Linked DNA regions of Rhinolophus ferrumequinum. The protein of the gene in region 2 interacts with the protein of the main gene of each other region in a pairwise test. Links are inferred from orthologs where the notes say so. Each region holds a gene or a part of one and is shown on either strand. Other genes may lie near its edges. The genes, in order: GLRX3, PLSCR1, SLC35A2 and CCER1.

Evidence for each region.
Region 1: the proteins of PLSCR1 (region 2) and GLRX3 interact in binary tests that used the Homo sapiens proteins (3 or more experiments, as listed by UniProt). The two-hybrid records come from large-scale screens. The link is inferred for Rhinolophus ferrumequinum from reciprocal best matches to the Homo sapiens genes PLSCR1 and GLRX3.
Region 3: the proteins of PLSCR1 (region 2) and SLC35A2 interact in a two-hybrid assay, tested with the Homo sapiens proteins (2 studies listed by BioGRID and IntAct). The two-hybrid records come from large-scale screens. The link is inferred for Rhinolophus ferrumequinum from reciprocal best matches to the Homo sapiens genes PLSCR1 and SLC35A2.
Region 4: the proteins of PLSCR1 (region 2) and CCER1 interact in a two-hybrid assay, tested with the Homo sapiens proteins (2 studies listed by BioGRID and IntAct). The two-hybrid records come from large-scale screens. The link is inferred for Rhinolophus ferrumequinum from reciprocal best matches to the Homo sapiens genes PLSCR1 and CCER1.

Annotation. Positions count from the first base shown.
Region 1 is NC_046299.1:2,007,399-2,015,104, reverse strand, and holds the start of GLRX3 (glutaredoxin-3), read left to right. Parts: upstream 1-4,692; 5' UTR 4,693-4,754; coding exon 4,755-4,843; intron 4,844-7,706. UniProt on the Homo sapiens protein: Together with BOLA2, acts as a cytosolic iron-sulfur (Fe-S) cluster assembly factor that facilitates [2Fe-2S] cluster insertion into a subset of cytosolic proteins.
Region 2 is NC_046285.1:5,726,300-5,733,275, forward strand, and holds the start of PLSCR1 (phospholipid scramblase 1), read right to left. Parts: upstream 3,008-6,976; 5' UTR 2,611-3,007; intron 1-2,610. UniProt on the Homo sapiens protein: Catalyzes calcium-induced ATP-independent rapid bidirectional and non-specific movement of phospholipids (lipid scrambling or lipid flip-flop) between the inner and outer leaflet of the plasma membrane resulting in collapse of the phospholipid asymmetry which leads to phosphatidylserine externalization on the cell surface.
Region 3 is NC_046284.1:85,746,289-85,753,789, reverse strand, and holds the start of SLC35A2 (UDP-galactose translocator), read right to left. Parts: upstream 3,013-7,501; 5' UTR 2,993-3,012; coding exon 2,896-2,992; intron 1,405-2,895; coding exon 1,222-1,404; intron 1-1,221. Other genes in the region: PIM2 (serine/threonine-protein kinase pim-2), read right to left, coding at 5,176-5,339, 5,435-5,611, 6,194-6,566. UniProt on the Homo sapiens protein: Transports uridine diphosphate galactose (UDP-galactose) from the cytosol into the Golgi apparatus, functioning as an antiporter that exchanges UDP-galactose for UMP.
Region 4 is NC_046293.1:82,529,331-82,536,609, forward strand, and holds CCER1 (coiled-coil domain-containing glutamate-rich protein 1), read right to left. Parts: upstream 2,881-7,279; coding exon 2,028-2,880; intron 1,754-2,027; coding exon of another isoform or gene 1,740-1,753; exon of another isoform or gene 1,618-1,739; intron 1,116-1,617; coding exon 1,087-1,115; 3' UTR 974-1,086; intron 615-973; 3' UTR 515-614; downstream 1-514. UniProt on the Homo sapiens protein: Regulator of histone epigenetic modifications and chromatin compaction into the sperm head, required for histone-to-protamine (HTP) transition.

The DNA.
Region 1 (7,706 bases), on a different chromosome or scaffold from region 2:
GTCCTTCATAAACATGAGTCTTATTTAGTTTACTGGGTATGTAATTCTTCTTTCCTTTGAAAATCATGATTTTTCAAGCAAGTATAGCAAAACTACAACCCATAAACATCTAGCTATGACAGTATAAACCACCTTTACAGCCCGCATGTACGGAGAGTTCTCCCAGTAAAAGCACTTCCTGGTAAGGAACACAACACAGAAGCTTGGCTGACTTGTGCCGGCCCAAGTTCCGGCTCCTACAGCTGACAGAGGAGCCCTCACAGCCTTCCCATTTCCCTAGCCTGTGTCCTCCTCTCTATCAGGGTGACAGCTGGGGCATCCCAACTGTCAGGCTGGCCCTTGGACTAAGAAGGAGGGCTAGTGGCTTGGTAGGACCTAGAATCCGGTTTATGTCCATCCACATGGTTTGTGAGGCACCTTTCACAAAGCCCATTCTTGGGGCCACCAAAGCTAATGGACAGTGGGGTGATATTCCCTGGTGGGCTCTGGAGGGCAAGATGCAGACTGTCCACCTCTCGGTTCCCCCATTCTGCGTCCAGGTCGATGGTCTCTCAGCGAATGCTGTGCCAAGGTTTTTGGCAGGGCTGGGCGTGGGGGTGCAAGTAGGCTTAAGAGAACCTAGTCCAGGGATTCTGCTCTGGGCTTTGGTCCTCCCGTCAGGGCTCCGGGGAAGGCATCTGGGCCCTTCCCACCCAGGCGCCCAGCAGTCACTGAACCCCTGGACATGACCGTGGGCCCCCGGCCAGCTGTGTGGACACAGCCCGGGAGTCTGGCACTGTGCTGACTCCACCCGGTGAGCTGTTAGCAAGTTCTCAGCAGACGTGCGGGTGCTCACTGATGCTTTTTATAGCAGCTCCAGAAGATATCGCAGCTTGAGAACAGAAATGAAAATATGTATCCTTCAGGTGCCAATCTACTGTACTTACAGTTTTACTATTTCTCTGCAGGGGGCCCATTAATCCTGCAACAGTGAAATTCCTAAGGAAATTAGTTCCCTCCGGTTGGGGTTACCCTCAACTGGTCTTTGGGGGCAGAGTGATTGGAATTTAAGAGTCTCTTAAAAGAAAGGAAACGTTGGCCACTTTACCTGAGTAACACACTTTCCAGTACAAATGCTTCGTCGTCCATTAAAGCTGGCTCACTCCTTCCCTGTGTGTCTCAGCTCCTGGGGTGGGGTTTACAAAGACCCCGCCAGCTGGGGGTTCAGTTCCAAGTGCTCCTCCACTGGCTGTCACTCCTTTCCTCTCTGGGTTATATGTGCCCACCTGGAACTCAGCACTGTGCCCTGCCTGCCGTGGAGGACACCACCTGGCTGGGCAAAGGAATGAGCCAGGCGTCATCAGAAGGGCACGGCTGCAGTATTTCCCTGCCTTTGCAGGAGCAGTAAGTGTTAGCTGTCATTACCCGGGGAAAACACACACACACACACACACACATTCCTTTAGAATGGGGCAGTTTGGACATAGGCTGGCATTCCTTTGCGACCTGCAGCTTTGTCTGCAGTTTCGCTCTGTCAGGCCAGGCTTCAGCCCCGAGGACCTAGAGCCCCAGTTTCCTGGTCCCCATGCTCCCGGCCCCTGAAGTGCCATACAGCACCCTGGGGAAACCTAATTGTCCTATCCTTCTCAGGGCTGTGCTGCTGTCCTAGGAAAACTGTTCCTGGTGCCAGACCAAGAGCGGCCTGGGGACCCAGGAGAGGCCCCTGCCCAGAGGGTACTTAAGATGAAGTGTCACTGGGTTCCAAAGGGGTTCCCCACCTCCTTCACTGCTCCAAATTGGAAATAAGATGTGGCTAAACGATGCTTACATATGGAGTCAGCAGAATGTCGGTGCCTGGGATGAACCCACACTGGGGACACAGGCCCAAATCAGCCCCTGGATCTTGGATTCCAGTGGTTTTGAGCTTTCAAGCACTAATAGGGGCACCAGGAAAAGCCAAGTCCAGAGTGTAACAGAAGGAACAGGCCAACCCCATTTAATATGACAATGACAAGTTTTCTCCTCTGGGCCTGAACAAGAGAAAGAGGACTGGGCCCTCCAACACTGGAGCCGCATGTGGGACAGGGTGGCGGTGGCAGTGAGAAGAGCTTGAAGCCCAACGGGAGGGCCCTGGGGTGAGGCCTGACAGTCACTCGCTGGCCCTTCCCGGCTGTGGGCCTGGCCGGTTTCCTTAGCTGTAAAGGGGGGTAGGCACTGAGGTGTTTACAGCTGAAGGTAGCACAGAATGCTAAATGCAGGCACGTGTGTGCAGCTGCTTTGGAAGGCTGAAAACCACCACATACCTGTGTATACACCTATGGACTTGGAACTCAGGAGCCACAGCTCCCGACATGCGGCGTGGGCTCAAAGCCGAATGGAGTAGTCTTGGTTGCCTACGTGAGAGCATTTTCAAGCTCAGGCGTCATCTGCTGATGTCAGGCCTGTTGATACCAACAGTGATAACTGCAGAAAGGGCAGGGGGCAGGACTGGGAATGTCTGGGAATGTTCCTAACTTTTGTTTTGAAGTAGGGAGTGTGCTCTGTAGCTGGTGTATGCTGCTTTCGGCAAATTCCATTTAAAGGAAAAATCAGGATTTTTAAAACAGCCACATTAGAAGGCTGCTTACTGTTTTGCTTTGTTTTTTAAAAAAGATCCATATACCACATTTCCCTGGTGCATTACAATTTCATTATTTTTTAAATTACAAGGCCAGTTCCACTCTTTGAAAAAAATGCCCATGACACTCAGAAGCCTATAATAATGTAAAGCATGAAGGTCCTCCCTTTAAAACTCCCCTATTTTCACTCTCTGCAGGCAAGCTCTCCTACCACTTTGGGGACATCCTTCTGAAGGTCTCTTCCTATGCTACATTCAGCCGTGTATAGTTATATATTTGTTTACATGTAATTCTGTTAAAGATGGTTATTGGAGCCTAATCCTGTTTTGCAACATGCTGTTTTCCCCCCATTGAATTTTTCCTCCATAGTAATCTCTAGGTTTCCTTTACTAAAAAGAAAAAAAGAAAAAAAAAAGAGCAACTAACCTTTTTATTTTAAAATAATGTGGAGTCATATGCAGGTATCAGAAATGATACAAAGAGACCTGTGTACATTTTCTCAAAAGATAACATCGTGCAAAACTGTAGTAGTGCCACACCCAGGATACTGGTATCCATATAACCAACCCATTCTTTTCAATTTCCCAGTTTCACTTGTACTTGTTTGTATATATTTTGTTCTATGCAATGTTATCGCATGTTTGAGTATCTACCACCACAGTCAGGAACAAACAGTTCCTCATTGCTCTCCTGTTGCATTTCAAACACTGTAATTTACAATTGTCAGTAACACCTATTCTCAGGGTGAGGCACACGTGTAATGGGCTCCTAACCGGTCACTGTCAATGACCAGAACAGCGCTGCCAAGGGAAAACCTAGGGTGAGCCGCAAATGAAAGTCACTACATAACTAAATTTCTAGCAACCCCATTAAAAATATAAAAAGATGTAAATTAAATTTAATAACATATCTCACAAAACCCAATATATCCCAAATGTTATCATTTCAACATGCAATCAATTAAAAATTACTAATGAGATAGATTACCTTTTTTTGGTACTACTAAATCTTTGAAACTCCGTGAGCCCACTTTTCCAGTAGCTGCGCGTGGCGAGCGCGCACTGAGCACGACTCTGCCCGGCTCCAATGCAGACACTGGGGTACGCACATTCCTGCCTGTCTCCATAACTGAGCTGGTGGAGGAGACAAGCACAGTTCCAATCCAGTGAGATGTGCACGTGGGAGAAGCGGCACGGTGCCCTGAACACGAGGGAAGGCTCCATCGGGCCTGCCCTCAAAGCCTGTCCAGAACCCCAGGGCTGTCCAGGAGGAGCCCCTCCTGTCTGGGTGGGAGCACGAATTTTCAGTGACATGGGAGCTACAACAGGAGCGGCGCTTTGGAGAAAAGGCCAGGTGTGGTGTGGGGTCCTCCAAGAGGAGACAGCCCTCCCCAAAGCAGATGGTGACTGGGCTCTGGGGGCGGAGGGACTTGCCGTGGAGATGGAGGGCATGGACGTGACTCAGGCCGGAGAGTGTGTGCGGGGCATGACAAGTGTGGGAGGACACCACCTGGAGAGTCAACATTAGGGGGATCCACAGGGAACCAGGGAGGGGCTGGAGGTTAGAGAGTATGCGGACCTGGAGGCCCGAGTGAGGGAGGGGCAGGGGTCCTGGAGCTGGGCCGTGGTGCCAGGCGATGCTGCTCCGAGGTGGGGGGCATCGCGGGGGCACAGGTGGCGGGACACGCGGTGGCTCGGGTTCGGGTCCTTCAGGTCCGAATTCAAAGGTCTTTGTCAGTGTTGAGGTTCCGAGATGGCGCAACCTCTCTTTCCCTGACCTCCCATCCATCCTCACCTTGGTGTAATTTCATTTTAGGTTCGATTTTTGTTAAGTGCAAACCTGACTTCTCTTACACTCACATCACACGCACACCCTTCTCCCAGCTGCTGTGGGAGATGCAGGGAAGGTACGGAGCAGAAAGACCCGCAGGCAGACTCCTGGCCGTTGGGAGCCGGGAAGCTCAGGAGCAGTGCGCAAGCTCAAGCGGCCGGAAGCATGTCCCCAGGTGTCCTCGTCTTGGCTGGTGCTGGCGCAGGCGCAGGCGCAGGCGCAGGCCCGGGGCGGGGCGGACCCGGGGGCGGGGCTTTCGCGCACAGCGTCAGAGGCCCCGCCCCCCGGGCCGCCGGCGCTCGATTGCTCTTGTCTGGCGGCGGCAGCATGGCGGCGGGAGCGGCCGAGACGGCGGCGGTGGCCGTGGAGGTCGGCTCAGCCCAGCAGTTTGAGGAGCTTCTGCGCCTCAAAGCCAGGTGAGCGGGGCGGCGGGCGGCAGGGGTGAGGGGCACGGCGGAGGCCGGCCTCGCGGGACGGCGCGGCCCGGCCTGGGCGGAGCGGCCGGCGCGGCTCCCGGGCCCTGGCTCCTCACCGCGGCGGAGGAGCGGGGTCCGGCCGCACACCCCCGGCGCGGCCCCTTCCCGCGGTGTGAGCGGCGAGCGGCAGAGGAAGGCCGGGCGGGGCCGGGGAGGCTGCCCGGCTGCAGGGGGCGTCTGGAGCGCGGTGTGCGCCGCTGGCAGCGCTCACACTTAAAGCCTCCCGGCGGCCGCAGCCTGAATTTCCTGTTTGCTGAGCTGGCCTGCTGGGGTCCTCCAGCCCTGGGAAGACGCCCCGACGACGGCGCAGGGGTGCGCAGTCCGCCTTTGGGGACCAACGGGCCCCGTCGTGCTCACCGCACCTCACTCTGCCGGGTCCTCCCTCCCGGGACGCCTGTTCTCAGCGTGTCCCTGGTGGTGCGGTGGGAGCTCCCGCGCCCACTGCCCGGGAGCCAGTGCCCTGCTCAGCCTCTTGGTGGCCGTGTAACCCCGGGCAGGTGTCATAACCGGGCCTCAGTGTCCGCAGCGGTGAAATGGGTCAGAACAGCGCCCACCCCAAGGTTGGGAGCACCGAGTCGGATGCTGCGCGTACCGCACCGCACCGCACCGCCTCGCGTGCACGAGCAGTCAGCCTTAGCTCTCGGCATTTTCTGGATGGAGCGGAGGGCATGGAGCTGGCACGCAGCAAATGCTTACGGACCTAAATGCGGTAGAATTTTGCTGAGGAATGTGAATTAGAGACAGGTGCTACTCTGGGCGAGTAGCTCAGGTAGCGTGTGCAGGTCAGACGGGGGACGTACTGCCTTCGTGGAAAATGGGAAGGGTGCGAGTAGCCTTTCATGGTCCTTGGCCTTTCATGCTTTACGAAGGGGATGGAGTTAAAAGTGTTAACCACAACAGCTCTTTTGGCGTTTCAGGGTTACCTGGAAAATTGTTTGTTTAAAAAGGAGAGGGGATGACGTTTACTCATTGATGAAAAGTGGGTTCTGATTCAGCCAACACTCCACACATCTTAAAATAGCGCAATTATGAAGTCACCAGAGGTGGCCTCCTAAAATGAGCAGGGCTTGTGTGGACCTGCCCTCAGTAAATGAACTTGCTACCATCTGGAAGACCATTTTGCTTTTTGTGTATTTCATTTTTTGAAATATTAAGGTCCTTAAGATATCACTATCAGGAAAAGTTTAAATGGAAGTACATTTGGGTGTATTCTTGTCACTGGTCTGTACTTGAAGTGACTCCAAAAGCAGTGCACCTTTTCCATAGTGAGAGTTTCATTGGGCACATGGGAAATGACGCCTGCTATGTGGGCAAGGAACAAATCTCTGCAGCTTTTTGTGAAAATCGAAGCATTTAAGAATTATTAAATAGCATTCGTTAATGTAATAATTTAAAGTCTACTTCCCAAATCTTCACTTCTCAGTTTTAAAATTTCATATGAACTGAAAATTTTTCTTTGCTTAACTCAATCACATGTTTTACATGTTAATGAAACCTCAGGTGGTCTGTACAGTGGGGATATTAATATCCATTTGCAGAGTAATTAAGGTTTTGCCTATTTGTAAAATGTTTAATAGAGTCTAGCATGTGCTAGTGTTTAAGAAGTGGTAGCTTGTGTTATCTGCAGATGAATAACTGCAGGAGCAGAACACCTGTAATAATAGAAACAGCCATTAATGAGCACTAATGATTTTACTGATGAAGAACCCAGGTTCATTGCATTGTCTAAAATCCCATCAATCAGGATTTCTCTAAAGGTTTTCCTTAAACAGTGCACCCTGCATTTTGGGCTATCCGTGAAGATGGAGACAGTGCTGTTCCCTGTAAGCCGAGAGAGGATGATAAATAGCACTTATGTTTGTTTCAGGTTTATGTCCTTACGATATAAGGCACCATGTACTGAACTGGAAAGTGGAAGCTACACATCTAGATATGAGAATATTGCAGATGATTTACAAGAACAGTGAACATTAATGTCATTCTTCAGTGTTTTCAAAGTGCTTTATAGTTTTGTTTGATCTTCCCAACATCCCAGGATTTTGGTTATTGCTGTTTCACAGAGGTGGAATTAAAAGCCACATTAGTAGTAATGAAATTTAAGTTGTATGTGTGTGCTTTTTTATTTTCTTTTTTGCATGTCATTTCATATTGTTAAAAAGTTTGGTAATCTATTTTAATTTTTAAAATACATGTAATCATATTGTGAGGATTTTCCCATGTCATTAAAAAAATCTTCAACATACGATTTTTTTCATGGCTTTATAATATTTTATATGACTTAAAAAAACTTGTTGAACAATACATTTTTGCAGTTATTTGCTATGGAAAATAATAGGAAAGCATTCAGTCACATAAACCTTTGTCTCTAATACTTTCTTTGGATACTTGAAAGTGGGAAGTTTCTGACAGGTTCCAATTTAATTTTAACCAGCAGGATATGAAAGTGCTTGTCTCACTCTGTCTTTCTTGTCATTGAATATTATTTTAAAAATATTTTTTCGATCCAGTAAAAAGTGGTATCCTAACTTTTAAAAGATTGAGGTATTAACTTACATACTATAATAAAATGTACAGATCTTAATTGTTAGATGTGATGAATTTTGACAATTGTATGCACACAAATGACCATCATTCAAAACAAGGATAGAGAGCCCCAGAAAGTTCTTTAGCCCCTTTCCAGGACTCCCCAGCACCGATCTGCTTTCTGTCACTGTAAACTCGGTTTGCCTGTTCTTGGACTTAATGTAAATGGAGTCACACAGCTCCTGGTCTTCTTTGTCGTTTTACTCAGTGTATTTTCGAG
Region 2 (6,976 bases):
TGTTGAACTATGGTTCTGGTAAAAGATAAGCAGAGCAAAAACAGATGAGTTTATACATCCAGGTGGCCCAGATGTTGTTGAGCATTTGAGTACACAAGTCCACCCTATGTGCAAGGTATAGGGTGGAAGTGGGGTGACTGAAACCCATTTACAAATCAAAGTTCCTGATACCAGGGAGTCTTCCTGTAAAAACCCAATCTTGTATTTAGAGTTCAAGGAAACAAAACAAATAAGCTCAGAACCATTTGGGGGGAGCATTTTATAGTAAACAGTGAAGAAAAAAAGTAGGTATTACATCAACTGGGACCACCTGAGAGAGTAGTGCTTAAATTAAGTGTTCTACCACACTAACAAGTAAACCAAAAAGACAAAAGAAACAAAAACTAAACTTTAGGTCAGTTATCCTAGTTTGATTGCGTTATTTCTCCTGAAAAGCTTTTCCTGACAACTCAGAGCTCCCTACAAATTTGAGTTGTTTCCTTGCCTCCTAATAAACGAGGAAACTACACTCAAAGAGTGAATGGTCACTTAATGTTATACATCTCACTAACTAGTTGAATTAAAATGATTCATGTCCTTTGCATTCATGTCTTTGATTCATTGAAAAAAAAATTTCTCTCAAATTGTCAAATTTCAGTAAAATTTATTAAAAGACTGTATTTATGGTATCTTTCTTGCAAATTTCAAACTTACGCAAGGCTATTTTCTTTTTACCAGGAAAGGTGAAAGTATTTTTTAAATTCAAAATTTGGAAAATGAAAAGTACAATTACTAGTACTGATTAACTACAGTACTTTGGCTTTTTCAACTTAGCACTGTTTAAGAAAGTATAATAGTGTGTGTGTATATATACACACATATTATAATGCACATGTTCATATATACAAGTATGTATATAAATATTCGGTTGGTACAAAGCTTGTGCCTTTTTTCAAAGAATACTGACTGAAGGCATAGTGAAAGCCATTATAGCAATCACTAGAAGAAAATGACAGATTATATTATTAGAAATACTCTAAATGCTATAAATAAATATAATGGTGCTATAATAAAGAGTTATGGGGCCACTAGCTTAGATGCTGGTGGTGGTTGACGGGGTTGTAAAGAAAGCGAGATCTGAGAGCTGAAGAAGTCTGAAATCAACCAGGCCATGAAGGTGTGGGGGTGGGGTGGGGTGAGGCATTATAGACAGGAAACTCAGTATGTAGAAGTCCTGAGGCTGCACAGAGCTTGTTTCATTCAAGGGCATGAAAGGTCTGTGTGTGAGAGAGAGACCACAGGGAGAGACCATGAGACAGGAAGATGGAGAGGTGCACAGGTTGTTACGCCTTAACTGTCTCCCCAGCTGCACTCTAAGCTCTGAAAGGCCAGTGCATGGCCTGTCTTGTCCAGGACAAAGCGCTTAATTGGTGCTTTTTGATTCAACAATGTGTGTACAGAATTATTAATTTCATTCCTTTCAGTCAGACAAAACAGCTCTCTTGCAGATGCGAAGGCTGCTTAATCTTGACCTAGTTATTTCACATGCCACTTTTCTACCCAACTGCAGAAATCCACTCATTTCACTACCATCCCTTGTGTTTCTTCAGTGTTCAAAGTGCTACAATCGTCATACTCACCAGTGTGGTATTAGGAGAAACTTCTGCTGGTATAAAAGTTCAAAGGAGAAAAAGGGGACCCCAAATCACCTGACATTTCACACTAAGTGAAACCTACCTGTACGGTACTAACCCTGTACCTAATACTACTAATCCAGGAGAAACAATAGTTTTCTGCCTCTTCCTGGAACTGGGTAGTGAGCATGCCAGCACTTCCAGGAATAAATGTATAAATAAAACCACAGGGGGACCAGGTAGAAAGCGGGGAGAAGCAGAGACTTTGTCAAATATTAAAAATAACAAAAGCTTTCACTGAGTACTTTCTGCAGTGCCAGACCCTGTCTAACGAAGTTACACTAATACCTGTCATACTCTAACTCTCAGAACTCTTTTACTAGTTACACAGTTTCAGAGATGAGGTACGGAAGGAACATATATGCAGAAGAAACTGGCTCAGAGTCCACGGATATAAGCAGTAGAGGCAGGACTGGAGTCAGGCAGGTGGACTGCGAGATAATGGTCTTCTCCTCTATGCTACACAGCCCCTCTAGCTTCCCAATTCTTCTGGTGTTCCAGGTCCTAGCATAGTTCCAGCTGTATCCTAATTCATATTTACTGTTAAGTGGCCGCTGGCAGGTTCTATTAACCGTCCCTTCTAACACCCCACATTGTGCCGGCAGACACCCCGGAGCCCAGGTTCCTGCCCTGATTCAGGGCTGCCCTCCTCGCTGGGAAGAGATGTTCTCAGGGAAGGAAACACCATAGTTGGTCGAGTCTCTACCAGGTAGGTCACCCGGGGACCCTCAGAGCGCCCCCGCTCCACTTCCGAGGTGGCTTCCCGAGACCGCTGGGACCCCAACCCCCATCCTCTACCCCCCAACCTCAGCGCAAGCACAACCCGCCAGCCCTCGTGCCCCTCGGTCACGAATCGCCCCCGGGCCCCGCGAGGCCCGGAACCCGCACAGGCCCCGCGCCCCGTGCCCGCGGCAGGGCGGAGAGCGCACCTACCCACCTGTGGCTGCTGCTGCTCCGGGGCGGCGCTGGGCGAGACGAGGGCCGGGAACCCGGGCGCCTGGCGGTCGCTGTGTCCCCTGGGCTCCTCGGCAGCTCAGCGCGGCGCGTTACACAACCTTCCCTGAAGTCACCAGGAAGGGGGCCTCCGAGGGACCTACGCGGGGCGGAAAACCCGGCTCTAGGTTTCGTTTCCTGGATCTTACGTACACAAAAGGGTCTGTCTAGCCAGTCCCCGTGGGAGTTCGGGGTCCCGCGTGGCTGCCGGAGGGCGGGAGAGCTGCCTCGAGGCCGGCTCCCCAGAGGGGCGGGCGCGGAGATGTCCCCCTGCCCCCTTTCCTACTCTCAGAGACTCCAAAATTGTTGGTGTTGCATTTCATGGGGAAGTCAACACTGGCTAGAATGCGGACAGTCTTGAACGCGGGAGGGTTTGCCTTCGGGGTGGGGCGGAAAGCACTGAAGTGCTGGGAAATTCCTTTACCCCGGCTTGACCTCCACCCCGGCGATTCCGGTTGGAAGCAGTGACCGGGGCTGAGGACAAACGCGGATGGGGCCAGCTTGTTTTCCTTCATGACGTCTTTTCACGTTCGCTCTCTTGCTCTTTGTCTCTTTCTCTGTTTCTCTCTTTCCACGAAACGATGTTAACTTCGTTTAAGAGTCAAACCGACCTGATGCGTTTAGAATGTTTAGTTTTTCAGGCCCCTCCAGGAGTGGCAACCAAGCCCAATAAACAAGTATTTGTTGAACTGAACTGAAGGATTCATTCTTTTTTTTTTCTCTAAAATTTTCATTTACAAAAGCGATACATGATCTTCCACACAGTAAAGCTGAATGTGGAGAAAATAAGTGAAACATACCTTCTGCATCCCCCACTTTTCTCCCCATGACACTGTTAAGAGACATTTGAAAATTTACTAAGAGAGAAGGAAGGTTGCGGGAGAGAAGAAAGGAGTTGGGAGGGATAGCGAAATTGAGAAAATATGACTGAAAAAGGAGGGAGGAAACCAAGCAACTTGGTTTGAATCCCTTCTCATCTCTGTGACTTGGTGCAAATTACAGTCTGTGTCTCCTTTTTAATCTGTAAAATGAAGGTAGTAATAATATCTACCTCAAAGATTTTTATGAGGATTAAGGAAATTAAAATACAAAAAGTTTAGACTGATGCCTGCCACACAGTAAGTGCTCAATACATACTATATACACAAATGTACACGTTAGGCCACATTTAGGACAGAACAGGAAACTTCTTATCTTAAAAGCCATCTTGTCTTTGTACCTGTACCTGCCGGCTTATGTTGCTTTAGGCTTGGAGAAGCCACCTAGAAAGTAGAAACCATCTTATGCTGTTCTAATGGCTCGTGATCAGCAGGCCTGGGAGGGCCTAGGAGGTCTGGACCGAGGGAGGCTAGAGGGGCAGGGTGTGGAGCCCAGGGCTTGGTCACGTCCCAAACAAAACCCTTGGTTGCTAGAGACAATGCAAGGAAAACCCCCTGAAGCATTGAAGGGGGAACAACCTCATTGACCCCCTCCGGTAAAACTCCATACCCCTTTTTGCTCCAAAAGGTTGTGGTCTTTTCTAGCCTGACCTCCCACAGTTCAAACACGCCAAATAAATTCTAATAGTCCAATTTTAGTCTCCCATGACTCATTCCTCTGGCCGTGCCTAACAGTACATAGTTTTGTTTTTCACGTTAACAGGATTATTTTATGCAAACTATTCTCTGTTGTGTTTCCACTTTATGAAACTTCTTGGAAATCCCTTGCCTTTAATACAGAACTGTATCGTTGATCTAATCATTTAGGTGTACTTTGCTTCTAATTTCATAATTACAAATTATGTTGTAGTCATCGTCCTTGCACTTATTTTTCTGTACACACTTTAGAAACTTATTCTGTTCTGCCAATAAAATATGAGAATGCTTGTTTTACCATGGATCGCCACCTCCTGATAATCATTTCTAAATGTTTGTTATTCTGATTGGCAAGTATTATGCTATTATTATTGTTTTTGTTAATTCGAGTTGTTAGTAATGTTGAGTAATTTTTTATATTATTGCTAAACATTTTACCATTTTATTCTGTGAAATATCTGATATTTAATACATAGTTTTCTGTTGGATTAGGACATTTTTCCCCTTGCGAATTTGTTGTGCTCTGTATATATTGTAAATTCAATTCCTCATCTGCTTAATAGAGTACAATTTTTTTTTTTTTTTTTTTGCTCAGTGAGTCTCCGGATTGTGTCACATTTAAACTTGCTTTAACAATACATAGTTTTCATTTTTAATCATCTTTTACTGTGTTTTTCACTTTTGACTTCTAGGCGTTGCATCTTATTTTAGAAAGTTTTCTGTACCTCAGGACATCCAGTATGAGTTCTTCCTTGACATTTGTTTATTTATTTATTTTTAACATCAGGACAACTTTTTAAGAATTACTTTTGATATACAATGTTGTATTAGTTTCAGGTATACCATATAGTGATTAGACATTTACATAATGTACAAAGTGACCATCCCGTAAGTCTAGTTCTCAACTGACAATATACATAGTTATTATAATATTATTGACTATATTCCCTATACTGTACTTTATATCCCCATGATGACTTTTATAACTGGAAATTTGTACTTCTTAATCCCTTCACCTTCTTTACCCATCCTACTGTTAGGTAGAAGCTAGAAAATGTAGGAGGAGGAGGAGTGGGAGGTGGTCCTTAGTGCCTACAGAAAAAGCTCACAAGTAGCTTTGATTAACTGCCTCCAGCCACATATCTGTTCTTATAACAACAGATGACAAGAGGTGGTGTGGAGCAAGATAAGGATCTGAGTCAACAGACCTCCACCCATCTTAGGAAGTCATGCCCTCCTATGAAAGAGCATGCACCACCTCCCCCACCCACCTCTCCGGCCTAAAATCAATAGATAACTCCCTGTATAAGTCCTACTGACGCAAGTTCTCTCACCCTTTTTTTTTTTTACGTCAGCTCTCTTGCTCACGCTTTCTCTCTCTCTCTTTCTCTCTCCCCCCTCCCCCTTTCTCTCTCTCACCTCTGCTAGGCCCATTCTCTTCCCTGAGAACATATCACTAATATCCGGGACCTAGGCTTCTCTAATCTCTTTCTCCCTCTCCCCAACCTCTTCCCTGAGAATGTATCACTAATAAACCCTGCTTGCATATTAATCAGCTTGCTGAACTTTGATTCTTCACTGTGTCAGCAAGAAGAACTGAGACTCCCGTAACATTTTGGTGCCATGATTTGGATTGCATCCTTTGTCTCCAGTTGTTTGGATGGCAGTGAGTAAGGGTCGGCAAGCTTTTCTTGCCTTTCCCACCTTCAGAGGAGATTCTCAACATTTTCAGAACTTTTTCTCCTACCTCCGAAATTTGCCTCTCCAATCCCTTAAGATCTTGTTCTTTTTGAACACTATTGCCCAACAATGGGTAACGCTAATACCAGCAGACTGAGAGATGGAGGGACAAAGGGACAGCTACTTGCATGAGGGCTTGAGTACTTCCTTCCGAATGGAATAATCAAAATCATACCCTGGGCTTTGACCATTAGCCCTCTATAATTTCCCCCTCCTGACCGAGCCTTTTTCGACTCCTAGAAGAACACGGGAACTACCAGGACTCTTTCGCAACCCCTACAAATCCAGAAAAGAGGTGGGATAGTCTGCCACTGTCTCGAGGGGCAGTCTTACCTCGCCCCAGACAATTTTTCCCTTTTCTAGATGGGGAATCAAGAGTCCATTCCCGCCAGTACCCCCTTGAGATGTACCCTTTCTAATTGGTCACAATTTGATCCTCAAAATTTAAAAGCCAACTAATCTTTTTTTTTTTTGTAATACAGTTTGGCCCCAATACCAACTAGGGGAGAGGGAGGTTTGGCTTCTTAATGGGACCCTAAACTATGACACATTTCTACAACTCATCCCCTTTTGTAAACGTCTTGGAAAATGGTCAGATAGTCCTTCTATACAAGTATTTTTCTATTAGAGGGGTGGTAGAGATTTATGCAAAAAGTGGAACTTAGCCCTACTAAGCCCGTGCTTACTGATCCCCAAATTCTCACTGACCCAACTCCGGCCCCAGGGACTCCAAAGAAGGCCCTCTGGCTACCTTCTTCACCACCCTTGTACCCAGAGTCCCCAACACAACTGCTGGCCCCTGCTTCTCCTGCCCCTAAAGCTGTTCGGACAACTAAGCTCTTGCCTCTGATAGAAACAGCAGGAGAAATTGGCCCCCAACTAATAAACAGACCCCTCTCCCTCATTGAGCTCAGGCAAATTAAAGCTGACCTTGGGAGCCATTCGGACCATCAGACAAATGTATAGATGCTTCCAACACCTTACTTTAGCATATAA
Region 3 (7,501 bases), on a different chromosome or scaffold from region 2:
AAGTGCTGAGGGTACAGCCACATGCAAGGCCTTTATATAGAAACGACTAGGCAGCATTTTAAAGAAGACCTTCAGGGAGGTGTTTACCTTAGTAGATAAACCCAACCTACAGGGAATACAGACGACAGAAGAACATGTTAAATAATACTACAGGGAGGCAGACAGCAAAATCCAGGTTACCCCAAGTCTGTAAGACAAATGACCTGCTTTCTTGAACAAATTAACTAGAGAGGAAAAAAAGAGTTGGAGGGAAACCTAGAGGTGGACAGACCCAGAAGACATCAACCAGTTACAAACACTGACCTTGATGTAAACTCGATTCAGACAAATTTTTAAAAACGTTTATGATATTTGAGAAATCACTACGAAATTTGGACATTAACTGGATATTTGGTTATGTTATTAACTTTTAAAATTATTGTTAATTTTTTGATGTATAATTTTTAGTTATTGCAGTTATTTTTTTTTAATATACCAAAGTATGTATTCAAGATAATAAGGGTGGATTTACTTCAAAATAATACTTCACACGGGACACAGGTCAGGTCTCTGAGTACCATTTGTTTCATTCAATGTTGTTGCTTTATAATGTTGATGAGATGCCTAGAAACTTAACTCTTGTTTGTATGAATTAGCCTATGGTAAAACTGGTTTTGTTTAATGTTTCATTTAAAGTCTCATTACTTATTGATGACTGATAACATTAACGGAGGACTTACTGTACTTCAGTATCATAAGGCGGGGGTAATAGGCAGACATAGATTGGCAGAGTGGATAACCACTGACGAAGTTTAATGGCAGAGTGGCCATGAGTTGATAATTGTTGAATCAGGGTGATAAGGGACATGGGTATTTTACTATTTTATTATTTTCTCCGATTTTGTGTTTGAAATTCTCCATAATGAAAAGTTTTTAAAGAGAAATACATAAATCACCATGTAAGGGTCACCTGCTACTTATGGGCACAGACTGTCTCCCTTGTACAGTCCCCTCAGGCCAGCTCCCAGGGTGGTTGGGGTGTAAAAGTGTGGATGCAGCTACTCAGAGCTGGAGGGACAACGCAGCTCAGCTGTGCTTACATACTCCCCAGGCCGTTTCACAGACAGAGATACTCCAACAGCAAACCCTCCATGTGGATTCGGGTACGTACACACACACACACACACACCACGCAGAGTCCCACCCACCGACTCCAGTGCAGCACCCTTCCCTGGCTCGTACCCCTCTTCTGTGCGAAGAGCAGCAGCAGGCAGGTGAGACCTTTGAGCACTTCGGCCATGACCACAGCAGTGGTGGCAAAGAAGCGGTCCCCAGGCAGCGTGCGGGTGTAGCGGATGCTAAGAATGAGGGATGCATTCTGGACCACCAGCACGGCCAGGGATATGTATTTGAGGCGCCGGTGAGCTGTGGGGAATGGAAGGAGCAAGGGGGAAGAGAGGGTCAGAAGCCGTCGGGGTATAGCCACACCACCACCTTCCCGTCTTTTCTCAAGCAGGACCCGCCTAACCACCACAGCTTCCTCCCTCTGTCTGTCTGTCCAGCCTGTTCCAAACAGGGTCTGACTCCTCCTGCTTCCACCGCCTCAGTCAGAGGAAGAAGAGCCGGAAAGGGAGAAGGAGGCGGGGCCCATACCTGGAATCCTTGCTGATGTGTCAGGAAATGGCTGGAGAAGGCCCTGTCTCCCGGGGGACAGAATACCAACTACATTCTTATTGAGTGCTTACTGTGTGCCAATCGCTGGGCTCAGGGATTTATATGGATTACCTCAATAGACCCTAATATCTCTCTCATCTCCTAAGGAACTATAAGGATTCCCATTTTATGGAAGAGCAAATCGAAGATTTACATGAAATGTTGCTTCTATTTAATGAGGGGCTGTCCCATGTGAAGTATGATACCCCAATACAGGGAATGAGAGCACTGTATAGGGCATGTCCACCCCCTAAGAAACGGTCTTTCCCCCACCTAAATTAGTCCATTCCCTCACACTCAGAATGGTCTCTCCAACCTCTCCTTCCTATGACGACTGATTCCTTCTGACCCCAATGACCTAGCAAACATAACAAATGATTCCCACACTTTCCCAAGGATTGAACCACATATAAGCAGTGGTTGCTTCACCAAGAGTGGCCTAGTGCCCTCCATGATATAAGGAGGTATTTCCCTCTACTACACATGGTCCAGTACTCCAACCATCGCATCCTACCTCCAGCCAAGGAATTACTACTCCTTGTTTTCCTCACACAGTGGACTCTCCCGGTAAGGAAGGGTGGCACCCTCAGAACGTCCCTTCTCCCACTCCCACACACGATGAACTATAGCTCCATTTGGAGGGGACCGCCAGGACGGTCTTTTCCCCATATAATAAAGGACATTCTTATCCTCAAAACGGACTAAGTCATATAAGGAAGGACCCGCCTTACCCTAACTCGCAATAGCCCGCCCGTTCATAAGGAAGAAACCACCACCCTTAGAGCAGCCTCTCCCTTCTATAAAGAACTCTTCCACACTCAGAATGACCTCTTCCTTCTGTGAAGAGAAACTCTACCACCCTCGGAAGGGTCTCTCCCCTCTATAAGGAAAGACACACACACCCCCCCCCCGAATGGTCTTAATGCTCCTAGCCTCCCCAAAAGGAAATATCCCCCTAAACTCAGAATGGTCTCTAGTCTCCATGTGCGGAAGGGACCTCCCATCACCCTCTGGTCTTTTCCCCACCAACACTCTCTCAACGGTCTGTTCCGTTCTTCCCTCACCCTCACCCCCAACCCCGCCACCCCCACATAGGTCGGTCCATACGGATGCTCCCTCTCGCCTCAGTGAGGAACCTTCCTGACCCCCTCAGCGATCCTGACTAGTCCCCGCCGCCGACCGCTCGGCCACAGCCTGTCTCACCCGCACTCACGGTCCCAGGCTCCAACGCCCCCGCCCCCGCGGAGACCGCCCCTGGCCCGGCCGCCGCGGTGGAACCGCTAGACCCAACCGCTGCCATGTTGGCATCTGCCGGGCCCGTCCCCTCGGCAACAGCAGGTCACTTCCGTGTCCATCACTTCCGCTTCCGGGGTGAGGTAGGGTGAGGGATGGGCTGACCAGAGCGGTGGCTTTCCCTGTCCCTTCCAGAACGCGTTCTGCCGCCAGCCTCGGGACTTCCAAATTTCTTCTGGATAAGGAGATCGGGCACGCGGCTGGCTCAGCCTTCCGCCGTCTCTGCACAGCCTGTTCAGCCCATTCCTGTTACTAGACCCGCCCCCATCTTCATCGATCCAGTTTTCCAAATCACCCGCCCATGCTGTCTCCTTGTCTCATTGGCTCGGTTGCCCCGCTGTTTCTGCACCCTCTTCTGATGGCACCGCCCTTTCCGCGTCAAAACTCGTCTTTCCAGGTTGGACTGACGTTTCTTTCCTCTAGCCCGGTGAGGACCCGCCCCCTGGAGAGCCTGCGGGCATCTGGGAGGGAAGTGAGACTGAGGGAGCGTGGCAGGTGTAAGGTCAGGCAGGCAAGCTAGCGATAAAATCAGGGCAGTTTAGGATATACAAGTGAAAAGTGACTGGCGAGTTCAAAAGGCGAAGGGAGGACAAGTGAGTCACCATTGAGGATGGAAAAGTGAGAAGCAGACAGACAGCTAAGCTAGCAGCTGAGAGGCCGAGGTTAGCTTTTGAAAACAGGCCAAGAGTACAGCTGAGGTTTGGACAAGTGAAACCAAGATAGTATAGGGCAGGGCAGGTAAGTCAAGAGTTGAGGAAGGAGAGATGAACGAGCAGGTAAGACAAGGGAGAGGCGAAAAGGGCAAAACAGGTGACTTACCCCCTAGAGGTTATTAGAAATCAAGGGGCTGGGGGGATTTCCTGTCTGCACTCTACCCTGGCCCCACCCTCCCCAGTGCCATGAAAGGGCTTTTCTTCTCCCATGGGGAAGAGATTTAGTCTCTCCCTGGGGTTGGGGGAAAGGAGTTTTTTCTGGCCCTGAGCTAACCATCTGTAACTGAGGATGTGTCCCAAACATTTTCAATGTCTATCTCCAATGCAGCCCTTCTGCACATACCGGGCACTACACGAGAGCAGGTGTGTGTGTGTGTATGTGTGTGTGGGGGGTTGTCAAGTTTTTCTTTGTGGTCTTGCTTAAATGAACCCATAAAAGATCTTTAGGACAGTACCACAAGACAGTCTTCCTGCGGGTAGAAGTGAGATCCAGTCCATCCCCCTCGTCTCAGCATGCAGATGTTCCACAAATGCCCCACTACAACTACAAATGGCCAGTCACTTGTGATTCTATAACGTTTATTAAATAGTGGGATTCCGCACATGGCTTTTTAAATAATCCAGGCAGGGGGAGAAGGGAGAGGATGACATATTTGGAGCTCCCTTTCCCCAATACGTTAAGTATTTACATTTCAGCAACTGGACAATCCTGGCTCAGAAGGAGGCAGCAAGAATCCAAAAAAGATGGGGGAGGCCCCAAGTGAACAAACAACAAGACTTATTTCCCCTACCCCATTTACCCCAAAACACACACCCCTCCACCCTAGTGGACTTTAGTGGTATCCATCTCCCATTTCTTCCCAAATTATGGAAGTAGGGTTCTCACCAGAATAAGAGCACTTAGAATAACACAGTAGGGTCCCCCTCACCAAAAAATAAAATAAAATAAAATAAAAAAATCTTCTTAAGCCCTGGGGTAACAATAGGGCATTACCTCCCCCAGAGTAAGCAACCTTGGGCTGAGGTAGGCAAGCAGCTTGACTGAATATGAGACCCTAGGCTAGAGGAAAGGGTCCCTTTACTAAAATAAAAGCTGCTGGGGTATTGAAGGAAAGCACCCTTGCCCAAGTTAGAGCATTTGAACTAAGTTTGTGTGGTGGTAGCAGGAGGTGCCCATGTAAGGGTTGTAACAATTCAGAATAAGAGTCCTGGGACTCCGAAGGGAAGTAACTTCAACCAAGTAAACATCCTTAGCAAAATGAGAAGCAAGAAGTCCTCCCCTCCAGATAAGAAACCGTAAATTCTGGGAGGGCTCCTTAGCAGAACTGGGATGGGGGCTGGGCAGACTTGGTTTATGTCTTCTGACCCCTGATCCCCAAACTGACCCTAGTTAACACTGGATTTTTGATGGCCTGTAAAACCAGGTCAACAGATGTCCTTCTGTCCCTTTGGCATGGCCATGGGATGGCCATCCCAACTAGGGCAGCAGGGACCAGGCCAAAGAAGTGGGACCCCCTTGAGGGGTGCTGGAGGGTGCATCCTCGGCTGGTGTCTGCATCCAGGGGTCCAGCTGGATCTCCTCCAGTGAGGGTCGGGCAGAGGGTTTGGGGGCCAGGCACCGGCGGATTAGGGCACAACAGTCTGCAGGTCACAAACACACAGATTAGCAGTGAGTTGTGGACACCAGTCCCTGGGAGGGATGGAGCCCACTGGGTTGGGGCCAGCGATGGCCTCACCTGGGGAGACATGGGCAGGAAAGTGAAGCTCAGCCTGCAGAATCTCCTGGTCCCTCTCGAAGGGAATGTCCCCACACACCATGTCATAGAGAAGGATACCCAGTGACCAGACAGTGGCTGGGAGTGCATGGTACTGGTGACGAGAGATCCACTCCGGGGGGCTGTAAACCCTTGTCCCTGCACGCAAGCCAGAGGTTAGACTACTCTCTGATAATGCCCTTCTCCCACTCCACCCTCCCCAGGAAGTATGGTCCCCACACCAGAATTAAGAGAATTACTATACGAGCAGGGTCCCCTCGCCACAATAGGAGTTCTTTAGCTATAATAGCAGGGTCTCATCACCGGAATAAGAGCAGTTAAGATAACGGCAGAATCCCCTCACAGAACAAAAACACTTAAAAGTTAACAGTAAGATCCCCTTGAGACAGGATATTTAGCATGTCCCTAGGAAGTCCCTGTCTACCGAGGGACTTGCTAACTATCCTGTCTCACCCTTACCAGGAAAAGAACACTTAGGATAATAACAGGATCCCCTCACCAACATAAGAGCCCAGAACAAGGAAAGTCAGGGCACTGTGAGAAGATGGGCTTTAACAGAGGGCAAGGCTTGAGAGTCCCCCGTATTAAAAATCAAGAACCTTATAAAGGTACAATATAGATCAAGGGTTACAGGACACCCCAGCACTGAAGGTTAAAGGTCAAGGGACCATAAAGATTAAAGGTAAAAAATCTCCCCACCGAGTTTTAGTGAAGCCTTACCATCAAAGTCAGTGTAGGGTTTATCGTGAAGCAGAGCACCAGAACCAAAATCAATGAGTTTGATACAGTCCCGGCGGAGGTCTATCAGGATGTTCTCATCCTTGATGTCACGATGGACAACTCCACGGGCATGGCAATGCCGAACAGCTGCCACTACCTGGGCAAAGAGGCAGCGGCTTCGGTCTTCACCCAACGGGCCCTGCTCTGTGATGTAGTCAAAGAGATCCTGGGAAGGCAGAGGCCGCTCGAGGACCAGCATGTAGCCCTCTGGTGTCTTAAACCAGTCAAGCAGGCGGATCACACCAGGGTGTCCACCACCTGCCCCCACCTTCCATAGCAGTTCCACTTCCAGTGGGCACGTGACTGAGTCCGACTGTGGGGGGAAACAAGGAGAGGAAAGGAAATACAGACATCAGGTCAGCGGCTCGGAGGCTGACTTCTCACCTGAACTTAATCGTAGCCCCTCAGCCTCCTGACCACGTGGCCTGGAGCAAACCACTTCCTTCCATGGGTCTCAGTTTCCTCATCTTAAGGGCTCAAACTCACACAGCCATTGGGAAGGTGATTCAAACCAAAAGCCTATGCACATCTGGCACATAATAGGAGCTCAGTAAATATTTGAAGAATAAAAGTGGTTCTTAATGAAAGCCACTATTATATAATATGTTAACCGTTTTGTTCACTGACATCTCCAGAGTTTATGATGAGACGGGGGATTGTAACATTGGCCCTAGACCTGCTTTTTTGAGATTTGGATCTCTGGTATAATTTGATTTAACAAGTGTAATTTAGCTTGGGACCTTTTGAAAGCTTTCTTTTCTTTCTTCGCTTCCTTTCCACCAAATGCTAAAGATTCTGCTTCCTATACATTTGCTATGCAGGTTTCAATGGTTGTGTTTACTTTGGCCCAAGCAGGCCCTTTGACTTAGGCAAGGTTTTGCATTTGTATGGGATCCACTCCAGGCTCCAACTTAAATCTACATAACATATGCAAAGGTTGTGATAAACAGCTTAACTGCAGTTTCCCCCACCCCAAGGGACAAAGCCGAACTGAATAGAAAATTCCATTACAGGGCAAAGCAATTTACATCCTGGTGAGAAAATTTAAAACTTCAGACAAGACTCAACACAATAGTTTGCAGTAGTTTCCAGAGGACTCTGCCCAACAGACTCTACTCTTATTTAGTCTTCCTTCTGTATTTCTGACTCATGAATTCTTTCACGACCCACAGACGAGTAGCCACAACAGTTTAGAACAGTACCGTATGCACAGTAGGTGCTCAATAAATGTTCGTTAAATAGACGAAA
Region 4 (7,279 bases), on a different chromosome or scaffold from region 2:
TTGTTTAAGAATATTAGATATTGGGGCTATGACTTGTAAGAATTTATTGACCAGTGTCAGGATTGACCAGGAGCAGGATTTTTGGTTTTTCCTCTGCATATAACATTAGAACTGCAAATGTGTGGCCAATTTAAAATTAGTTTTATAGGTAACTCAGAAATTGCATCTTGCAAGAAACGATTTCTTACAGCATAATTAAATGGTTGTTCACTGCTATAGTTTGGAGTGTTTGGTATCATTTAAAAATTCCCACAAGGTCTGTTTTAGTTTTTCTTCTTCTGTTCATTATGTTGGCTACTGAAGTATTGCTGAACAGGTATCTGATATGTGAGAAGCAGGGTACTTTCATTTACTATTTTAAATATTTTTAAAGTTTTTATTATTTATTTATTCTTTTAACAACTTAATATTATCACCCCAAAAGCTGCAATTCAATGGAATATATGAGTAAAAATCAACTTCCAGGTAAGATATCACCATACAGTCTCTTCACCAAATAAATACTAAATTGTCGTTCAGATTATACTTAGAAGTACAGTTTGTCAAAAGATGTAATTTTTGAGAAGGCAGGCTCAAATTCTTCATCTAGGGATTCCACCTCTTCTGGAAATATGCTATGGATAGAAACTTTTATTAAATTATGAGAATTAAGTGCCCAGGAAGAAATGTATTATTACTTCCTGAAAATGTCTGAATAACAGCTATCATTTTGAATGATTTATTTTCCACACATAATTGTTCGGACATTAGAAATAAACTCATGTAGGCTTGTATGTAACACATCTTCATTTTATTCTCCTTTATAAAACAGAAAATCTGTGAAAGAAATAAGGTATTCCACCCCCAAAAGGACAACAATCTTAAAAATCCATTCTGCACAAACTATTTTTATGGTTCCTGTGAACTTATGACAAAGAATATATCTTGGAATGAGGCTTCAAAATCTAAGCCATATTCCATCGCTTGCAGTTACCTTGGATTTTAACTAGATGTGCAAGTTGACTTCTGACCATGGGGAATCCTCTCCATGCATGGATTTATGGATTGTTGAGGCCATGGCAGATAAACAGTTCCACAGAAGCAACTTCATGTTCTTCTGAGGAAGATCGATAGCACTGTGGAACAAGGAATATAAATGAGCGATGCCACAAGAGACTGCAGATGGCGTTACCAAAATACAGGCCTCAAAAATGAACTGTGAAGGTGGAAAGTCTACAAGGAAAAGAAATTTAAAACAGCTATTTGGGTTATCATGCTAAAAGCACTGATAGACATTCATTCAGCAGACATGGCACTCGCTTCTTATGCATGTAACAGTCCAAATAACTATTGATTCCAAGCTCATAAAGTAGATAAATTGTATAAATTTGTTATAAAAAGTTTTCAGCATTGCCAGAATTTTAAAAACTCAGGTGTGTAGAGGGGAAATACCAAATGAAACTATTGAAACTGTAGTAATAAAATAGTTTGGCCTTTAATAATTTCCAATTAAATTAGATTTGAAAGCTCCCCTGTCCCATAGTCATACACAAACACACCAATTTTTAAACAGTTTATAACGGCCAAAGAAGGGGTTTACATGGATGTTAATTAATGGAACTCACTTTTTAATTCGTTTTTTTTTTTAAATAAGCTGTTAATCCAGTTTAGCCTCAAATCAGTTCCATCCCATTCCTTATCTTTTCCTGATGTCTAAAAGTTAATGTCCATAAGGAGAGCTTCCTGTGGCACTTCAGGAATTATCTGATTGGGGCTAAAAAAAGAACAGTTCATAAAGTTCTCTCCCTCTTCTTCAGCCTCCACTAGGAATGACAAAGGTATTTGCAGAGGCAAATCATTCTCTTCCCCTCTCTGCTCATCCTCCTCCAGCCCCTCCTCTTCCTCTATTTCCTCCTCTCCTTCCTCTTCCTCTTCCTCTTCCTCCTCCCCAGAGCCAGACTCCTCCACTTCCTCTTCATCCTGGGCCTCTGCCTCTTCGTGTTCCTCCTCGCTCTCCTCCTCCTTCCCATCACACTCCTCTTGCTCACACTCATCATTTCTCTCCTCCTTCTCCACCAGCTGTTGGGCGGGAGACTGGTTTTCCGCCTGGGGGACAGGACTGAAGCTGAGAGAGGTGTTCCGCACACAGCTAAACAAACATTCCGGAAGCTCGGCGTCTTCCTCCCCACCAGCGGGCTGCGCGTCATTTCCGGAGGCGGAGCCCGCCGGGGAGGCGGGGCCACCTGCCTGGGCCCGCTGTGCCCGCAGCGCCTCCTGCTGGCGCTCCTGCTTCTCTTGCTGCCGCATGTCCTCGTAGACCTGGTTCATGATGAACTGGGTGGTGTTGCGCGGCGCACGCATGCCGGGCGCCCGCCACCCGTACAGGTTGACCGGCCGCAGCAGCGTGCTCACATCCACGGGCGGGTTTCTGGGGAAGGAACGGCGAGGGTGGCGGCGCAGGCCGCGGCCCCTGCGGCCCCAGCGCTTCTTCCTGCCAGGGGGTCTCGTCCAGCCGGGGTTCCAGGGCTCTTGCCAGCAGGAGCAGCAGCAAAGGCACAGCGGGTGCATGCCACACACTCGGATCACTTGCATCCGGCCGGGGTGCTTCCAGCATCCCGCCCGAGGAGGGCGCCAGGGCCCTCCCCAGCGCCGCCGGTTAGAGTGCACGGCCCTGTAGGGACTTCGGGGTGGTTGGAACCATGGGCCCTGGCCGTGCTGTTGCTTCGGCTGTTTCCTCCGGGGCTCAAACGCGGCGTTGGGGCCATAGCGGGGCCGCCGCCTGTAAGTCGGAGCGCCCCTGCGCCTTCGGTGGCTGGAAGACCAGGTGCGAAACGGGGCAGAGGATGACCAGCCGCCGCCCAGGTTAAGAGGGTCTTCCCTTTTGTTGAGGGTCTGGGTCATAGTTCACGGAGCTTCGAGAGCTCTAAATGGAAGCGTCCCAGAAGCTGTCCTCAAATTGGCCAGATCCCACGGTCTAAAGGGCCTCGTCACCCTGTGTCTCCCCTTGCAGTGCCACGTGCCTGTCGCTGAGATCCCGCCTTTCCTCACCAGGGGGACCCCTCTCCTCCACTCGCTACTAACCCGCTGTTCTGTCGTAATCTCTTGCCCTTCGCACCCGGGTTGTGTCGCCCAAGCTGGCTGGCTGGGACTGGGGCTGGATAAAGATGCTGGGGGAGGAAGATATGGATGGGCTACACGCAGCGAGAGCCGCACCCGGGCCCCACAGGCACCCGCCTCGGCAGAGGCTAGGGCTGGGCACGGGGAAGGCCGGGGTTGCGCGTTATCTTGCTGCTCGGTCTCAACCCAAGTGCTTCACGGTCGCCGTCCTGGGGGGGCTGTGGGGCGCAGGCAGGCAGGCAGCCTTTAAATACCGGCCGGAGCCCCCGCGTGCCCACTGCGTCCTTGGTTGCCCTGGGTGACAGCCAATTGGCGTCGATGGCTTTCGCTGTGCGTGGAGGTGGGGGTTCCGGCTGGAACGACGTGCCCTGTGAACATTCGCGGGGGGCTTGTGACGCAGATTTTAACAGGGGCAAAGCGAGGCTAGGCTGTGTTTGTGTTGCCCCAGTGTGTTGGCTTAAGGCTGTTTATTTGAACCCTTTGTACCACCTCCAGGCTTAGGGGTACAGAAGATGGCCCTTCAGCTAAAGTCGTGGGTTGGGGTTGGAGGAGAGGGGAGGTGCGACAATTGAAAAAGATATCCTACACCTTTGGGAGCGGGGCTGGGGCGGCGTAAGAATAAAGAGAAAGCTCTTCCAGTCGGAAAACTGGGCCACAGTCCTTATTTTATGGCCAGTGCCTACTTTTCTAACTCCTGGGAGCTGCAGTTCGAGCTACCCGAAACAAGACCGCAAACATTTATTGTGTTGCTTATTGTGTGCAGACGGACCCGTGGCACATAATCATCATGCCTACCCTGTGAGGTAGGCATTGTTGCCACTCTCACAGATCAGGGAATTGTGAGGTTAATTTGCCCAAGGTCGTGGGGCTAATGAACTTCAGGGCTAGTATTTAAGCCTGGCTTAAATACTTAAGGACATCGCTGCCCTGTACTCCACACGCACCTTAAATAGGACTCTTGTAATGAGCAAATGGAATAGGTCTGAGAAATCACTTTGCTAATTGTGATAGACCGTGAAAATCTCCGTTGATTAAGCAAACATTACCAGACTGTATATACCATGGGTTGTTGAGAATACAAATATGTCAATATGTCTTTCCTTTTGTCCCTGTATCTGCCAGACAGCACATACATTGGGAGCCTTTACAGTATTATGGGTCCGAATATCGCTTTGATTTGGGTAGACATGCGCCTACCTACTCTGATGATACTGCATGGTGGGTACATGTCATTACACATTTAGCCGTAGAATGCACAACACCAAGAGTGAACACTAATGTGAAGTATGGGTTTTGGGTGATAATGACGTGTCAATGTCGGTCATCAACTGTAACAAATGTACCACTCTGGTGGGGGATGTTTATAATGGGGGGGGGCCATGCATCAGTGAGGGAAGGGAAGATCCAGGAAATGTCTGTACCTTCTGCTCAATTGTGCTGTGAACCTAAAACTACTCTACAAAATAAAGGCTATTAAAAAATAGACATGCTTCAAGTTCAGTTCACCAATTATGAACCTCCAGTTTCTTACCCGTGGCGTGTTCCAGTACCTCATTGCATAGGGTTGTGTTAAAGATTAAATAAGGTACTGCATTAAAACACTCAGTGTAGATGCCCAGTAAGCACTTAGTAACCGTTAAATATCATCATCATATTCAAACGCTTCGGGACTTTTTAAAAATTAGTTTCAATATACAAAACAACATAGTGATTAGATAGTATATACCTCATGAAGTAATAACCCCAATAAATCTCTTACCCGTCTGATACTGTACATAGTTATTGGAATATTACTATATTCCCTATGTTGCTGTATATCCTTATGACTATTTTTTTTAAATTATACTTGACATTCAATATTATTTTATATTAGTTTTGGGTGTACATCACAGTGGTTAGACATGATTTACGAAGTGATCCCCTGACAAGTTTAGTACCCATTTGACATATACGTAGTTTTTACAGTATTATTGACTATATTCCCCCTACTGTTCTATACATCCCCACGACTCTTTTGTAACTACCAATTTGTACTTCTTAATCCCTTCACCTTTCTCACCCATCCCCCTAAACCTAATCCTATCTAGTAACCATCAATTTGTACTCTGTATCTATGGCTCTATTTTTCTGTTTGTTCAACTATTTTGTTCTTTAGATTCCACATAAAAGTGAGATCATATGGTATCTGTCTTTCTCAGTCTGACTTATTTTACTTAGCATAATACCCTTTATGTCCCTCTAGGTCCATCCACGTTGTAGAAACTTTAGGAATTTTAAAGAAGTAAATACATTATATGTAAAGATAACTACCCCTGTGCCTGATGCAAAAATAGGCATCCCTGCTCTTGTGTCCTTTTCTTCTCCCACGTTTTAGAAGCATCAAGCAGTGCTACCAGGCTTGATCCTGGAGAAAACTGTCCCAGAGTATATCCCCTTATTACCTTACCATGGTGGATGGAATTGTGCAAAATGAAACAGTGCCCACTGGGAAACTGAGTCTATACGTGCCTCCATTAAATGACATAGAATGAAAATGTGGGGAATCCCTGAAGCTTGCAAAGGTCACTTATGCATTCCTGTTGAAGACTGAGAACAGCGTGGGGGTTCCTGGAGCAGGACTCCAACCATTGCTGTGGGACCTGTAAATGCTACAGGCTTCATTCAATTTTATGTGCTCTGTGGTTTGCTGAAGACAAGCTTGCTTGACTCAAATGTCTAATACTGACAATTTTAGCCTCCAGTGTACCTTTTTGGATATAGACTCACACATTTGGAAGTTGACCTCTCCCTGTTCTGCTTATCTCAGAATGCAATGGTTATAATCCAGATTTATTTTTAGGATAAATGTGGTATACAATATAGAGTTTTCATTGAGAGCTTTAGAAATTGACCATGTTGCTATCATGGAATTCCCATCCATTTTTTTCCTTGTTTTAAAATAAAAAAAATAAACTAATAGATAATTAAGGATATCATTTTTTTTGATCAGTTGCTGTGAACTTTATACCGATAATACTAGCTTTATATACTTTTTCCATGGTGAGAGCTATATCTTTCATATTCATCCTCCCTATTAGAAATATGAATGCTATATTGTCTTGCCCCACTCTTCCTCTTAGTAGGAGAAGCAGCAAGTTACAATTTATGATTTTTAGTTTTTTCAACACATTGGCATTATAATACAAATTGTTCGGTAAATCATCCAAGAAAATTAGCACCAGAACATGTTAAACACATTCATCAGTAATTCAATTAAGGAATATTTTTAAAGACATACTTTAATTCATCCATATTCTTTAAATACTGAAACATGAAATGTTCTTATTCAATATTGAAATATAACACATTTACCATATGTTTATATATGAGGCCTGACAATTAAGTTCACAAATTTGTTTCAATGATGTTGCTAACCTTTTTTGATATCAGAGGGATTACTCCTTATGAATTTGTACCAACTGGAGAAACAGGTAACCAAGTTTACTATTTGGAAGTGTTGAAAAGACTGTGTAAAAAAAGTTAGACAACCTGAACTTTTCATCAACAATTCATGGCTCTTGCATCATGACAATGTACCAGTTCCCATGGCACTGTCTGTGAGAGAGTGTTTAACCAGTAAACAAATAACTGCATTGGAACACCCTTCCTACTCACCCAATCTGGCCCCCAGTGACTTCTTTCTTTATCCAAAGATAAAGGAAATATTGAAAGGAAGACATTTTGATGACATTCAGGACATCAAGGGTAATACGACGACAGCTCTGATGGCCATTCCAGAAAACGAGTTTCAAAATTGCTTTGAAGGGTGGACTAGGCGCTAGAATTGGTGCATAACTTCCCAAAGGCAGTACTTCGAAGGTGACCATAGTGATATTCAGCAATGAAGTATGTAGCACTTTTTCTAGGATGAGTTCTCAAACTTAATTGTCAGACCTCATATTGTATTAGTTTTCTATTCCTGCATAAAAGTTTCCCACCAACTTAGTTGCTTAAAACAACATACATGTGTTATCTCAGACTTTCCAAGTGTCAGGGATCCAGGAACAGCTTAGCTGGGTCCTCCCTTCTGGGTCTCACCAGGCTGTGATCAAGGCCTGGCAGTTTGGGTTCTCAGCCAGGGGCTCACTTCAGAAAAATCTGCTACCAAGATCTTTCATGTTATGGGCAGAATGTGTTTCTTTGT